Oryctolagus cuniculus: one gene and its partner. The protein of the gene in region 1 interacts with the protein of each later gene in a biochemical or structural test. Links are inferred from orthologs where the notes say so. Each region holds a gene or a part of one and is shown on either strand. Other genes may lie near its edges.

The links.
Region 2: the proteins of PRPF40A (region 1) and U2AF2 form a complex in vitro, tested with the Homo sapiens proteins (2 studies listed by BioGRID). The link is inferred for Oryctolagus cuniculus from reciprocal best matches to the Homo sapiens genes PRPF40A and U2AF2.

Annotation. Positions count from the first base shown.
Region 1 is NC_091434.1:89,201,920-89,208,714, forward strand, and holds part of PRPF40A (pre-mRNA-processing factor 40 homolog A), read left to right. Parts: intron 1-418; coding exon 419-539; intron 540-776; coding exon 777-830; intron 831-2,654; coding exon 2,655-2,679; intron 2,680-3,194; coding exon 3,195-3,569; intron 3,570-5,978; coding exon 5,979-6,087; intron 6,088-6,584; coding exon 6,585-6,649; intron 6,650-6,795.
Region 2 is NC_091449.1:3,335,838-3,343,071, forward strand, and holds the start of U2AF2 (splicing factor U2AF 65 kDa subunit), read right to left. Parts: upstream 4,025-7,234; 5' UTR 3,934-4,024; coding exon 3,885-3,933; intron 1,649-3,884; coding exon 1,513-1,648; intron 706-1,512; coding exon 661-705; intron 1-660. Other genes in the region: CCDC106 (coiled-coil domain-containing protein 106), read right to left, coding at 5,380-5,696, 5,785-5,997, 6,481-6,657, 6,735-6,957. UniProt on the Homo sapiens protein: Plays a role in pre-mRNA splicing and 3'-end processing. By recruiting PRPF19 and the PRP19C/Prp19 complex/NTC/Nineteen complex to the RNA polymerase II C-terminal domain (CTD), and thereby pre-mRNA, may couple transcription to splicing.

The sequences.
Region 1 (6,795 bases):
ATATGTGTGGATTTCAAAATTTTTGCACCAAAATAAGCTTCCATTTTTCATGAACATTTTGAAGAAAACTTGTATTACATATATTATACCTATATTATGCTTTAATATGTTAGTTTAAATACAGTTTTAACAGTATCATATCATGAAGCTGATACCTAATCAGATTTTTATTTTCCTTAAATTTTGTTTTTCATACTTGTATTACTACTTGAAATGTGTAATGGAAATTTTTACCTGGATGGTGACAAGATCATATGGATTTGAGATAATAGGGTTGCTGCCTTAAACAAATTACCTTTTTACGTAGCATCTCCCCAAGTTGTAGAAATAATAAAGGGTGAGAATATGTAGTGAAAACAGTTTGTGAAATTTAGTGATGCTAAATATATTAGTTAACTCGAAGTTTGTTCTTCTATAGCAACTGTTATCTAAATGCCCTTGGAAGGAGTACAAATCTGATTCTGGAAAGCCTTATTATTACAATTCTCAAACAAAAGAATCCCGCTGGGCCAAGCCTAAAGAGCTTGAGGATCTTGAAGGTAAAAATAGGAGAAAATAATGTGTAGTATAATTTTTTTACTTTGATATATCAATCACTTTGAAATAATCCTTCCTGAATAGGATTGTTCAAAGGCCTTTTTTTTTTTTTAAATTAACTGATTAGAACATTTAAAATGGTGTAATAGTTTTATGGGCTCTTATTTTCTTGTTGCTCTAGATCTCAGTTCTATAGATTTTAAATAGATTTTTATTTGATTTGATTCCACTGAAACTAGGATACCAGAATACCATTGTTGCTGGAGGTCTTATTACAAAATCAAACCTGCATGGTGAGCCGCTTTGATAATTATTTTCTGTCATATTTAACATTTTTAGAGTATGTCACTAATATTCACTAACTGAATTGATAAATCTGCAGTGAAAAATCTCTAATACAAGAATTCCTTTCACTTAAGGATTATATTATAAATGAGCTTGTAACTTTTAAAAGTATACTTTGATTTTCTTTAAAATTTATTTGTCATTAAAAAATTAAACAAAAACTTAGAAAATTTCTAAATTCTACTTGAGTGTTGGTAGATACTTGGAACATATGATTTAACCCATTTAATGGTAGTAATTAGAGAACCTTGAATCTATCTCTTTAGTCGTTAGCATGTAGTCAGACATTTAATATTGATTTTTAAAAAAATTTTTTTTATTTGACAGGTAGAGTTATAGACAGTGAGAGAGAGACAGAGAGAAGTCTTCCTTCCGTTGGTTTACCCTCCAAATTGCCACCACGGTTGGCGCTGTACCAGTCCGAAGCCAGGAGCCAGGTGCTTCTTCCTGGTCTCCCATGCAGATGCAGGGACCCAAGCACTTGGGCCATCCTCCACTGCCCTCCCGGGCCACAGCAGAGAGCTGGACTTGGAAGAGGAGCAACCAGGACTAGAACCTAGTGCCCATATGGGATGCTGGCGCCGCAGATGAGGATTAGAAAGTGAGCCACAGCGCCCACCCCCCTAATATTGATTTTTGCTTTAGCATAACATTTTTTATGATAGCTTTGATACATTATGATTGAGTGAAATTAGGTAAACAAAGTAACATGCTGCAGTTGTAAGAATTGTTTTACACTCTGAACTACTCAAAATATTATAGAACCCAAGATTTAAAATAGCAGTGATTCTGAATAAGAATTAAGAATTGAAATTTTTTGGTCTCTTTTTAACTGAATATAGTGTCAAAAAATATACCAAATTAGAAACAACAGCTTATAGGAAAACAGGACTAATAAAGTAGGCATCGATATAGAATAGTATCTGCCACGAAAGGATAAAATTTCATAAAAGGCATTGTCGACTTTAAGTCATTTACCTTTTCTCTGTGCACATTGTATCAGGAAAATGTAAATTTATATTTGTATATTTTATATTTGTAATAACTCTTGAATATGTTTTCTCAACCATTGTTAACAGATTTTCAGATTTCCTTGTTAAAATATTTTCATACAAGCAGGCTTATATTATTACTTAAATGGTACCTCATCCCTAGGATGCTAAATAAAAGCTACTTTTTATCCCCAAAGGAAAAGTTACATAATTGAAAATGAAACTGAAATTTTCATTTATATTTCATTTTATAACTAAAGTTACTAGCATTGGCTAATAAGAATAAAGATAGGTAACCTGCATCCTAGTTTATTCATTTACAGAATATCAAGCTCATTTCTGATATAACCCTAATAAAAATAGTATGCATACCTATTAATGTACTTGTTAATGCTAGAATATGTATGTACTGGAATTTTATAATTGCAGTTTGTCCCATATTAAATTTAGTATCATAAGAAAATTCGAAGTAGTCTCATCAGTGGGAAAAATATTATTCCAGAATTTAGATTTTTCAGGGAGATTTTGCAGTAGCCAACAGCCATTGGGAAAATAACAGCATGAGATAACTTTTTCTGATAACTGTTCTTATTTAAAATTGGTTTTATTCTTTAATTGCTGCTCTACAACTATGGAGCAAGTGTTTGTAAAATTTATTTAAGAATTTTTTTTGGATGTTAAATCCTATTGTAAGATAGTTTTCTTTATTTTTTTCAAAGTTTGTTTTCAGTTACAATATTTAAAACCTAGTAGATGACTTTTCATTTTTCTCTTTGATAGCAATGATCAAAGCTGAAGAGAGCAGGTAAGCTATTTTGAATATCAACATTTATTTATAAATTTGGTCTCCTGTAACATCTTGTTTTAGCTGTCAGTTTTCTTTTAGATCTTGTTTTCTTGTTAGATCTGATGATTTGATGTCTTTAGAGGATTTTATGGGGGAGAAGCAGGGAGAATAATATTTGCTCAGGTTGATACTGATATGAATTAAGAAGACTGTTAAAATGAAGTCCAAAATTTTCTTTCAGTTCATTTGGGAATGGATGAAATATTATATCGATATATTTCTTTGATTATATATGGTTTCCTTTTAATTCATGAAACAGAAATTTTAGAACTTCTTACAGACATAATATATGTCAAATTTAATGATAACAATCTAATTGAGCATTTTGTAAATGAGAATAATTATTGGACTTTCTAGTTTGGAATCACTGAATGTTGGTCCCTTTTCATTTGTTATTATAATTTAAAACCTAGATTTAGATTTATGATTACAGTGATGAAATAACTAGTTTTCTCTCTTTTTTTAATGTATAGTAAGCAAGAAGAGTGCACCACAACATCAGCAGCCCCGGTTCCTACAACAGAAATTCCGACTACAATGAGCACCATGGCTGCTGCAGAAGCAGCAGCTGCTGTTGTTGCAGCAGCAGCCGCAGCAGCAGCAGCTGCTGCTGCAGCCAATGCCAGTGCTTCCACTTCTACTTCTAATACTGTGGGTGGAACTGTTCCAGTTGTTCCTGAGCCTGAAGTTACTTCCATTGTTGCTACTGTTGTAGATAATGAAAATACTGTAACTATTTCAACTGAGGAACAAGCACAACTTACTAGTACCTCTGCTATTCAGGATCAGAGTGTTGAAGTATCCAGTAATACTGGAGAAGAAACATCTAAACAGGAAACTGTAGCTGAGTAAGTTTAGTAACTTGTCTTCTGAAAATCAGTGTAGACGTAATTCAAGAAATTGCTGCTTAATCAGTGACCATTGAGTCTAAATATTTTTGAAAATAAAAATTTTAAGACTTTAGACACTGGATAAATTTTGAGGCTAAGTTATTCTTCTTGCTCTGTTTTGGTTTTTTGGAGGTAGATTAGACACCAAACTGTTGGAAAACTTGTGCACTGAAGTTTTAAGAAGTAGAGCAAAGGATCGGGTGAGGCACAGATGTAAAGGAGTGCCAAAAACCATACTAAAGAAGATATATCCTATTTGAAAGCAAAATATCCATGATTAACAAAATGTCAGTTTTGAAAAAGGATCAGTGTTACTGATTTTTTTTTCTCCTGTGTGGTTCAGCATAGCACTACAAATGCCATAGTTTGTTATTAAAAAGATTTCTTAGGAAAGTTGAAGGAGCTCTGCAAGCTAGAGTACTAAAATGGTTTTGTTTCATTTTTTCTTTGCTTATTTGTAGTGTTTGGTTTTCAGTTTTCTACAAATGAAATAAAACTGCTTTTTTAAAAGCATATTTTGGAAAAGGTAATAGAAGGTGTTTTACAGAGAAAGGAAATCAGTTCTCCAAGAAGTTTATAAGACACTCAGCCGTTATAATGAAACACAAAATAATACTACTATTTTTGTACCATATTAGTAAAAACCAAGCACAAAAGATAGATTTAGCAGAGTATGAGAGTATTTTCATACTGCTTTTGGAGTGAATTGGGATGGCTTTTTAATAAAGCACAGCTCCATCTGTCAAAGTCTACAGTTTGCTTGTACCTGCATACGCTATAGTAATATTTCACATGGCTAGCTATGAAAAGTGAACTCAAGCTGCCCTTGACTTAAGGATGTCCACAGGTATAAAAAACAGCCTTAATCTTCATGGTCCTAACATAGTCATCCATCTTAAGATACTGCCTTTACCCTCCAGTTCTTATTGTAAGTCTTCTTTTTGTGTTCTCCTATGTTATATTTTCCAAAGTGAAAATAGCTTTATAATTTGTTCTATGAAGAGATCCATATGGTATATTTGAAGACATCAAGGTAAAATTAACATAATCTCCATACACTCCATCATGTATTATGTACTATGCATAAATTTAAGTGTCCCCTTACTGATTGACATTTCCACTATTGATAGAATGTTTTGTAATAATCTTTTGCATTAAATCCCTTGTATAAATCAGTGTAGTAGTTGCATATAGTCTGTGCACATCCTTCCATATACTTGGAATCATTTCTAGATTACTTATTATACCCAACAGAGTGTAAATGCCATGTAAATAGTTGTTGTATTGTACTTTTTAGGGAATAATGAGAAAAATGTGTTGTTTAGTGCTGATGCAATTTCCTTTTTCTTTCAAATATTTTTTGATCCATAGTTGGTTGAAACCACAGAAGCAGAGGGCCAACCATAATATGTTCTTCATAATTTTAAGAATTAATACTTGTTTCCTGCTGTTTTTTTCTTTACTGCATTTCCTGATTATAGTGCCTGTCTGTGAGATTTTGATTTTAATTATGTTTATTTAGACCATTTGTAGCTGTTAGTTTTTTGCTGATCTCTTTATAGTACTTTTTGACAGTTCTAAATAGATTTCCCTAAGTAAGCTTACCTGATGTAAAGTGAATATATTTACATTTTTGTCAGAATCTACTTAATTGTCTCCTCCCTTAAATATTTTACTTGAAGTATTTCATGATTTTTTTCTTTTTCCTGCATTCCTCTGTGTTTATATCAGGGTAAATGTATTCTTTGAATGACCCCCAACCAAAACCAGTTAAAAATTCTTGATTGTATTATTTTTATTTTGGATTTGTGTTTGGCAAACTTTTTGATAAAATACCAAATGTAAGTATTTGGGGTTTTGTGTTTGTTAACAATGCCAACTCTGCTGTGGTCCCACAGATTGGCCATAATCAGTATATAAACAAATGAGCAAGGCTGTGTATATTTCTAGTCAGAGTGGGCTAGTTTTGGCTAGTGTAGTATGCTGCATATGCTGACCTTGGTTTAGATTAACCTCTATATCTTTTTTATATTTTTGCAGTTATGCGAAATACTCAGTCATTAACACACTAATATGAAACCATTGAATTAACCATTTAAAATGGTTAGGTTGTAGACTAGTGGAGCTGGTGTTTAATGCAGTTAATGTTATATTTTGGCATTTCTACAAGGTTTTAATAACTATACTTTCAGGAAAACTCTGTATTGCCTTTATTCCTGTGTTTTTAGCATCTGTATATGAGGCTTAATTCCCAAATTGTCAAAATTTAACATCAAATATTATTTAAATAACAACTAAAGGCATTTATATTTCTGACTGAAGCAAGTATTTGTTTAAATTATCAATGACATGTTTACATTTCTCTAGTTTTACTCCCAAAAAAGAAGAGGAGGAAAGCCAGCCAGCAAAAAAAACATATACTTGGAATACAAAGGAGGAGGCAAAGCAAGCATTTAAAGAATTATTGAAGGAAAAGGTATTTGTGTTACAGATTTTTATATGCTGTGTATAAATTACCTAATAAAATGAGTTATTTTTAATGCAAACCTTGATACCTTTATTTAAAATACTGATTTCATGTACTGTTTTTACTGAAAATCAACTAAAATTGTCTTATTTTTTTGAAGATCACTATTTTGAAACTTTGAACAAAAAAACTTGAACAAAACTACACCAGGACATTTCTTCTTCAATATTTAATACAAGGTTTTTTATTTATAGTTATAATTGTTTACCTTTTAATCAAAATTGTAAAGAAAAAATACTCATTCCCTGTTTAAATTTGAGTTCAAGTTCTTTTCAGTTGATAGGTAGATTTCAGAGGTTTCCCATCAATAAAACATTATTTAGAACTTTTCAAAATCCTACAAAGGAAAATTCTTGAGGTTTACAGTGAGTATTGTAGTTGGTTCCCTGTTACATGACTTACTGTGCTAGTGTGAAATTTTAATTCTTCATTTAAATGGTTTTCAGCGGGTACCATCCAATGCTTCATGGGAACAAGCTATGAAAATGATCATTAATGATCCACGATACAGGTAATACTTCATTATTTTATAAACTTTTCACTTTGGCATAGCAAGCCTAGCACATTTAAAATTGTGGAGAATGGTGCAGTTTTTAATTCAGATTAATGTTCATTGTTTTAAGATATAAAGAATAAAGTTCTTTTGTGGATTAAAAA
Region 2 (7,234 bases), on another chromosome or scaffold:
ACATGGGTGGGGAGAGGCACACAGCAGTGAGGGAGGGGAAGGTGTGGACACAGGCAAGAGAAGAAGATGTGGACACGGGCAGGGAGGAGGGAAGGTGTGGACATGGGAGGGGGGAGGGGAAGGTGTAGACGTGGCACAGAGAGGCACACAGCAGTGAGGGAGGGGAAGGTGTGGACGTGGGCAGGGGGAGAGGAAGGTGTAGACACAGCAGGGAGAGCCACACAGCAGTGAGGGAAGGGAAGGTGTGGACGTGGGCAGCGAGAGGGGAAGGTGTGGACACGGGCAGGGAGAGGCACAGAGCAGTGAGGGAGAGGAAGGTGTGGACACGGCAGGGGAGAGCCACACAGCAGTGAGGAGGAAGGTGTAGACGCGGGCAGGAGGAGGGGAAGGTGTGGACGTGGGCAGGGGGAAGGGAAGGTGTACACGAGGGCAGTGGAGAGGCACACAGCAGTGAGCGAGGGGAAGGTGTGGATGCGGGCAGGGGGAGGGCAAGGTGTGGACAGCAGTGAGGGAGGGGAAGGTGTGGATGCGGGCAGGGGGAGGGCAAGGTGTGGACAGCAGTGAGGGAGGGGAAGGTGTGGACACGGCAGGGAGAGGCACACAGCAGTGAGGGAGGGAAAGGTGTAGACGCGGGGGCACAGGGGCAGGAGAGACGCTCACATCAATCCACCGTGGTCCTCTTTAGCGCCTCTGGTCAAAGGTTTGCTGGGGGGTGGGAGGGAAAGGTAGGGGAGGGGTGACTGGGGACCCTCGACTGCCCCACAGGCCACTCCCCCCCAGCTCACTGAGTCCCAAGGCTGGGGCAGGGCCGAGGAGAACAAGCGGCAAGCAGCCCCCTCGGCCCTGCCATCTCCCCCCGCCAACTCCCAGACCAGGATTAGGAGAGGAGGAGGCGGGCCAGGGCAGACCAGTGTCCCTGCAGGCACTGGGCGGGGGGGGGGGGGGGGGGGCGCGGGAAAGCAGAATCCCTGGAGGGAGCCCGGGAGCCGAGGCTGCAGACAGTGCCCCACTGCGAGGAGGGGAGAGAGACTGGAGCCAGAGCAGCCCCGGAAGACAGCCTCCCAGAGCAGCACAGAACAGCTCAAGGCAACCAGCCCGCGGCGGGAGCCAGCCCTGCGCCGGGCATCGGCCACGCCATCAGCCGTGCCACCTCCAAGCCCGCAACCCGCTAGCACGCCTGGGAAGGCCACGCGGGGGAGACGGCTCAAGTGCCTGGGCCCTGCCACCCACGGGGAGGCCAGGATGGAGTTTCGGGGTCCTAGCCTTGGCCTGGACCAGCCCCAAGCGTGGCAGCCAAGGACAAGAGCCCCCGGCCCGCCCTTCATCAAGTCGTCTCTGTAAGGAGAGCCCTCGGGGTCGGGGCAGACAGAACCCGCAGCCCCCAGCACCGCCAGCGGGGAAGTGAAAGAAACGCCAGACTCGGCGGAGAGCTGGTCCCCACCCGACAGACACGAGGCCACGCAGGCTGTGGGGCCACCCAGACGCCCCCCACACCCAGGCTGGCCCGGGCACCTTCGCCGCCGCCTGTCCCGCGAGGCGCTCCGCTGGTCTCGGTTGCGCCGGTCCCGGCTCCGGCTCCGGCGCTTGCGGTCCCGGCTTCGCGAGCGGCTATGACTGCGCTTCCGGTGCCGGTTCTCCTTGTCCCTCTCTGCGCAAGGCGAGAGGCAGGGGCTGGGCTGAGTGGAGGGAGGACGCGGGCCCAGCCCACCCTGCACGCTGGTGGCTACGCCCAAGACCCAGGGAGGCCACCCCCAAGGGCAGGGACTGCAGGAGGAAGGGAGAGAAGAGGCCTCCTGGGTCCACAGCAGAGGGGACCGCGGACAGGGCCTGCTAGTGCCCCGGGGGTGAAGATACCTGCGGATGCTCAAGGGCTGAGGAGCCAGAGAAGACAGAGGAGGCTGGCTCCTGGTCCCCCTCGAGGGCTGAGGGGCCTGACCCCAGGGTCGTCCCTGAGAGGGGCAGGGCTAGACGCTGGGGAATCAAGAGACCCAATGATGCTTTCCTGAAGGGACCCAGCGACCCCTCAGGAAAGACGCGGGCACCGGCTGGCACCCACAGCCCCCCACGTCCGGCCCAGGAGCACGGAGCCAGGCGTGATGTGATGTGCCCGGATGCAGGACGCTCGAGTCATCCCTCTCCTGCAGGCAGGCCACGCGGGACCAATATGCCTCCATCCCCTCGGGGCGAGGACCAGGGACTCCAGGTCCCGCCAGGACCTCCGCAGGACACCGCGCGCCCCGGCACGGGCCCGACCGGGCCACCACACGCAGCGCAGGACAGGTCCACGCCCCCGTGGCCTCCGTGTCACACACTGTCCAACGTGGCTGCGCGTGCTCTGCCCCCAACCACGCACGCTCAAGCACGCACAACCGGGAGCACCGCCTGCATCCCCAGCCAGAACCTGCACCCAGGCTCGGCCACAGGACGGGCGGCCGGGACGCGCGCCAGCAGCCTGCACCCGCCACTGCTGGACACGGGGCCGGCGGAGCAGACAGTCCGCCTCCAACCTGCACGACGACACTCCCTCCGCGGAAGGCAAAGACAGAGAAACCCCGCTGGGGTGCGGAAGACAGAGACGAGGGCGCCGGCCCGCAGCCAGCACGCGAGCACCGCGCGGGCGCCGGGCGCCGGCCCCAGCAGCTCTGCTGCCCACGGGGACCGGCCCAGGAGGCGTCCCGCCGCCGAGGCTCAGCAGCGCGCAGGAAAGGGACGCCCGCGGGGCGCCCGGACGCAAACAAGGAAATCCCCTAGGCACAGGTCGCCAAGAGACGCAGGGAGACTGGCGCGCTGGGACAAAGACCCACGCACGGCACGGGGCACACGTGGGCCCCGGAGGAGGCGCCGCACACCTGCCGGACTCCGCGCCAGCTCCTCCCCGCTGACCGCAGGACGCCACGCGAACGCGACCGGAACTTGGCTCGAGCAGGCGCCGTCCCGCCCCGCGCGCCAGGTGCGCCGAGGGCCTAGCCGACGGCGGGAGGGCAGCCGGCCCGGCTCGCCCGACTCCGTGTCCGCCCTCCGAGCCCCTCCCGCAGCGGGGGGACCCGGGCCGTGCTCGCGAGGAAACGCGGGCGGACCGAACAAAGCGCCGGCCCCCAGCGAGGGGCGCAGCTTCCCTGCAGCGGGGCTCGCTCGCCCCATGAGGAATCTCTACAGCCAGAAACATTAGCAAAGAACACCGCACCCTCGGTACTCAGGCGGCAGGCAGGCCGCGGGAGGGGCGGGCTCCGTCCACCCCCGCCCCAGCTCGGGCCTGGGCCCCTGGACCTCCGCTGCTCCCGGCGCCCTCACTCTCGCCGAACGCGAGAAGCGGGCACGCAGCCCCGGGCGGCGGGGCGCTGCCGGGCACTGCCTGCCTCGGCCCGCAGCCGCGCCGTCCCACCTCCGCGCGGACACGCAGGAGGCCCAGCTAGGGGCCCCGGTCCACGCGAGGGGGAGGGGGCCGTCCCCGAGACCGCCATTTTGAAACAAAGGGGGCGTGGAGACGCAGCCCCGGCACAACCGGAAGCGGAAGAGTTGCAGCAGCGGGCGAAAAAGAAGGGGATTACAGGATCTAACATACTAATCGTCTTTGCCAAGAAAGGGAGAGAGCGAGCAGAGCTAGGGTCGACGACTCCGGCGCCAGCGCGCCGCGTCCCCCTTCGCCACCTCCGCGGGGACCACGTGGGCGCGGGCGGGCGCCGTGCGCATGCGCCACGGGCCCGCGCCCGCCGCCCCTGCCCCTCGCCGCGCCGCGGGCGGTCACGTGAGCGAGGCGCGCCGCGGGAGGGGGGGTGGATCGCGCGGCGCCGAGGAATGGGAAACGAGGGGGAAAATGGCGGGGGCCGAGGAGCCAAGCGAGGAGCCACCCCTCCCGCGCCGCCCCGCCACCCCGGCGCCCTCACCTTGTTTATTCTCGTTGAGCTGCCGCTCGAACTCGTCGAAGTCCGACATGCTGAGGCGGCCGCGTCGGGCCCTGTGCAGCGCTCGCCTCGCCTCGCCGCCCGCCCGCTCCGGCCGCTTCGGCTACTTCCGCCGCTAGCTTCGGCTACTTCCGGCCGCCGCCGGCGCTGTACCGCCTCCTACCTAATCAAGCCCCGGCAGCCCGCCCCGCCCAGGCTCCGCCCCTCGCCCCGCCCGACCCCCGCGAGCCCCGCCCCCGAGCCTGGCTCCGAAGCGCGTCGGCTCTTTCCGGACGGTCGGCCTCGGCGGTTTCCGAAAACGCCCGAAGCGAGGACCTGGCCGGCGTCTCGGGTTTCCGTAACTTTCCGGAAGTCAGCGCCTCGCCGTCCGGCTGTGTTCGCGGGTCCTCGCGTCCCTCGGCGCAGAGCCCTCTCCGCGGGTTCGGCTCCTCCCGACAATTCCAACCGCCCCAGTCTCTCCCTCTGCAGATCCGCCGCGCTGCTCCGCCGGACCCGCCTAAGCAATCGGCCACTGCCGACGACCTTTCCGAGGGTTTCGGCGCTCGCCAGAGGCTTCGGCTCTTTCCGGAGAGTCCGCTCGCGCACTCCTCCCCTACCGGAGAGCTTCGGCTCCTTCCGCCGCGGCTTCGGGAAGCCCCTCCCTCACGGAAGCGGCTTCGGCTCTCTCCGGCGGCGCTTCGGCTCCTTCCGGCGGCGGGAACCGAAAAGGGAGGGAGGACGGAGGCGAGGTGGGTCCGGGGCCCGGGTCCAGAGAAGGGGGCGGGGTCCGGGCTCTCGGCACCTGGCTCTCCCGATGGGAGAGAGGAAGGAAGGAAGGGCCGACTCTCCGGAGCGCCTGAGGCGGCTGCGCGAGGCAGCAGCAGCCTTCGGGCTGGAGGGCGCGCGCGGCCGCTGCGGAGGTTGCCAGCGCGGCTCTGCGCGCCTGCGCAGGGGCTGAGGCGGGCTATTGCGGCTGCGCGGAGGTCGGTCTGAGGCGGGGTGGCGGTGTCGGGTTCCAGGGCCCCCACTGCGCGTGCGCGAGGCTTTCCCTGCCTAAAAGGAGTCCGAGTTCCCGACCGTTAAGCACGACCGCCCGCTCCCGGTTGTCTTGGCAACTGCGTCCGCGCTCTCGCACCCCTGCCGCCGCGCGCACGCGTGGAAGGCGGTGGAAGCACCACTTCCGGGACGCGGCCAACGTCGCGCTGCTGCCCCCTGGCGGCAGACGGCCGCCGTGCCACGCCGCGCCGCGCCCGGGGACCGCCCATGCCGGGGGTCGTCGGGCCCCGCGCCGCTAACGCACGGCGCCGCCCCCGGGGGGCTCGCCCCACCCTGTGCTCCCCAACCCCTCGCTTCCCCTCCGAGGAAAACGCTGGGGCCCAGTCTGTGCCAAAGCGTCACGTCTCTGTTTTATTTTTAATTTTTTAACTTAAATTCCGGGCGCCGTCTGCCCGAGCGTCACGTCTCTCGTCTTTCTTTATTGGATCTGAGCGAGCACGGGTCACCGCTTGAAGCGGTAGGTGATGGGCAGCAGCAGCTTGCTCTTCTTGAGCGCCTGCACCTTCTTGAGCGTCTCGTCGTCCAGGGCCAGGAAGCAGCGGCGCGAGTACTCGAGCAGGCGCTCCTTGGAGGGGTCGAACTCGCCCACCTCGGCCAGCTTCTCGGGGGCCACGATGAGCAGCTCGGCGATGGGCGTGGTCAGCGCCACGGTGTTGCGGTCCACGCGGTGGTGCTCGAAGGCCCGCGACATGCTCTTGAGCTTCTGGAAGGTGCCCAGGATCTTCTTGTAGCGGCACAGCACGCCGTCGGCGTCCTTCACTGCGGGGGGACAGCGGGCGGCGGTCAGGGCCGGGGCCGCGGCGCGCGGGGCCAGGGCGCGCGCCCCGGGGCCTCGGCCCCCGCTCACCCCGCTGCCGCTCCCGGGCCTTGGGCTTCCCGAAGCGCCTCCGGCCGGCGCCCGCCCGCGGCCTCTGCCTCTTCCTCTCGCCGGCGCTGCCTTCCTCGGACGCGGCGCTGAGCGACGAGGCGGCCGACTCCAGGTCCGAGGCCTCGCCCCCCGCGCCGCCGCGGCTGTCCCCCTCCGCCCGCCGGGGCCCCGGCTTGGCCCGGCAGTGGTCCTCTGGGGGTGGGATGGGGGGCGGGGGAGAGCAAAGCCCGCAGGTGAACGGCGGGCCCAGGCCGGACGCCTGGCGGCCGCGCTGACCCGCAGAGCCCCTGGAGGGCAGTGGGAGCCCGGGAGACAGGGGCTCTGGGCCTGGTAGGCCGGGGACAGCCAAGGCCTCCAGCTGCACCGGGGGCGCTCCCCGGGGACACGGGTGCTGGAAAGGCCCTGTACTGGGCTCCCCAGGGGCCCGACCGTCGCGGGAATCATCCGCGGGGGAGACAGCCAGATCCTGACAGCGTGGGCACGGGCACCACGGGCCCGTGCGTGGCGCCGGGTTTGGGGAGGAGGGGGCTCGCAGAGAGAGGGGCAGCAGGGGCCCCGCTGGGGCTGGGCGGCGGTCAGCACGCGTGGGTCCGCCAGTAAACCGGCCGGGCTGCTGCTGGTCCTGGACCAGCACGGGAGGGGGCAGGGGCACGGGGTCGCGGCCCGCGCGCCCACCTGCGTCCACGCGCGCGGAGGAGATGAACTTGTCCAGCTGGCAGCGCAGGAAGTCCCGCTCCTCCTCCAGGTCCTCGATGCGCTTCTGCAGCCACGAGTTCCTCTCCAGGGCCAGGTGCAGCTGCGCCTTGACGCTGTTCATCAGGGCCAGGGTGGGCGACGCGGCCTCCGCGGGCTCTGCGGCGGGGAGCGCACCGGTCACCCTGCGGGCCGGCGGCCCCGCGCCTCCGCGCCCCCGCGCCCCCGCCGCTCACCCTCGAAGCCCGCCTGCGAGGAGTTCAGGCTGTAGAAGAGCTGCGAGTCCAGCGGGGGCGCCTCCTCGAAGGGGACGGAGACCTCAAAGCCCTCATCGTCTTTCTTCACTGGACAGGAGAGGCCCGCGGTCACGCGCCAGGCGGCCGCAGGCCCCGCCGGGGCCGCCCCCCACCGCGGCCCCGCGTCCTCACTCGTCCGCCTCCGGCCGCTCCGCTCGTTCATCGCCGGGCTTTCTGTGGACCCCGCAGCGGAGCGCCTCAGGGGCACTGGACAGAAACAGCAGCCACAGATGGAGGGGCCCGCCCGGGGTCTGGGGGGGAGGGGACCCCATGCTCCAGGACCCAGAGCTGCGGGCGCCTAGCCGAGACCCGGACGGACGGCTGGGGCCTGGGCACCCCGGGGCTGCTGGGGCACAGGGAGCCCCTGGCCCGCACGGCGAGGACCCCCCGCAAGGGGTCTCTGCAGGCCCAACCGAGCCGCAGGTGCAGGGAGAAGCTGC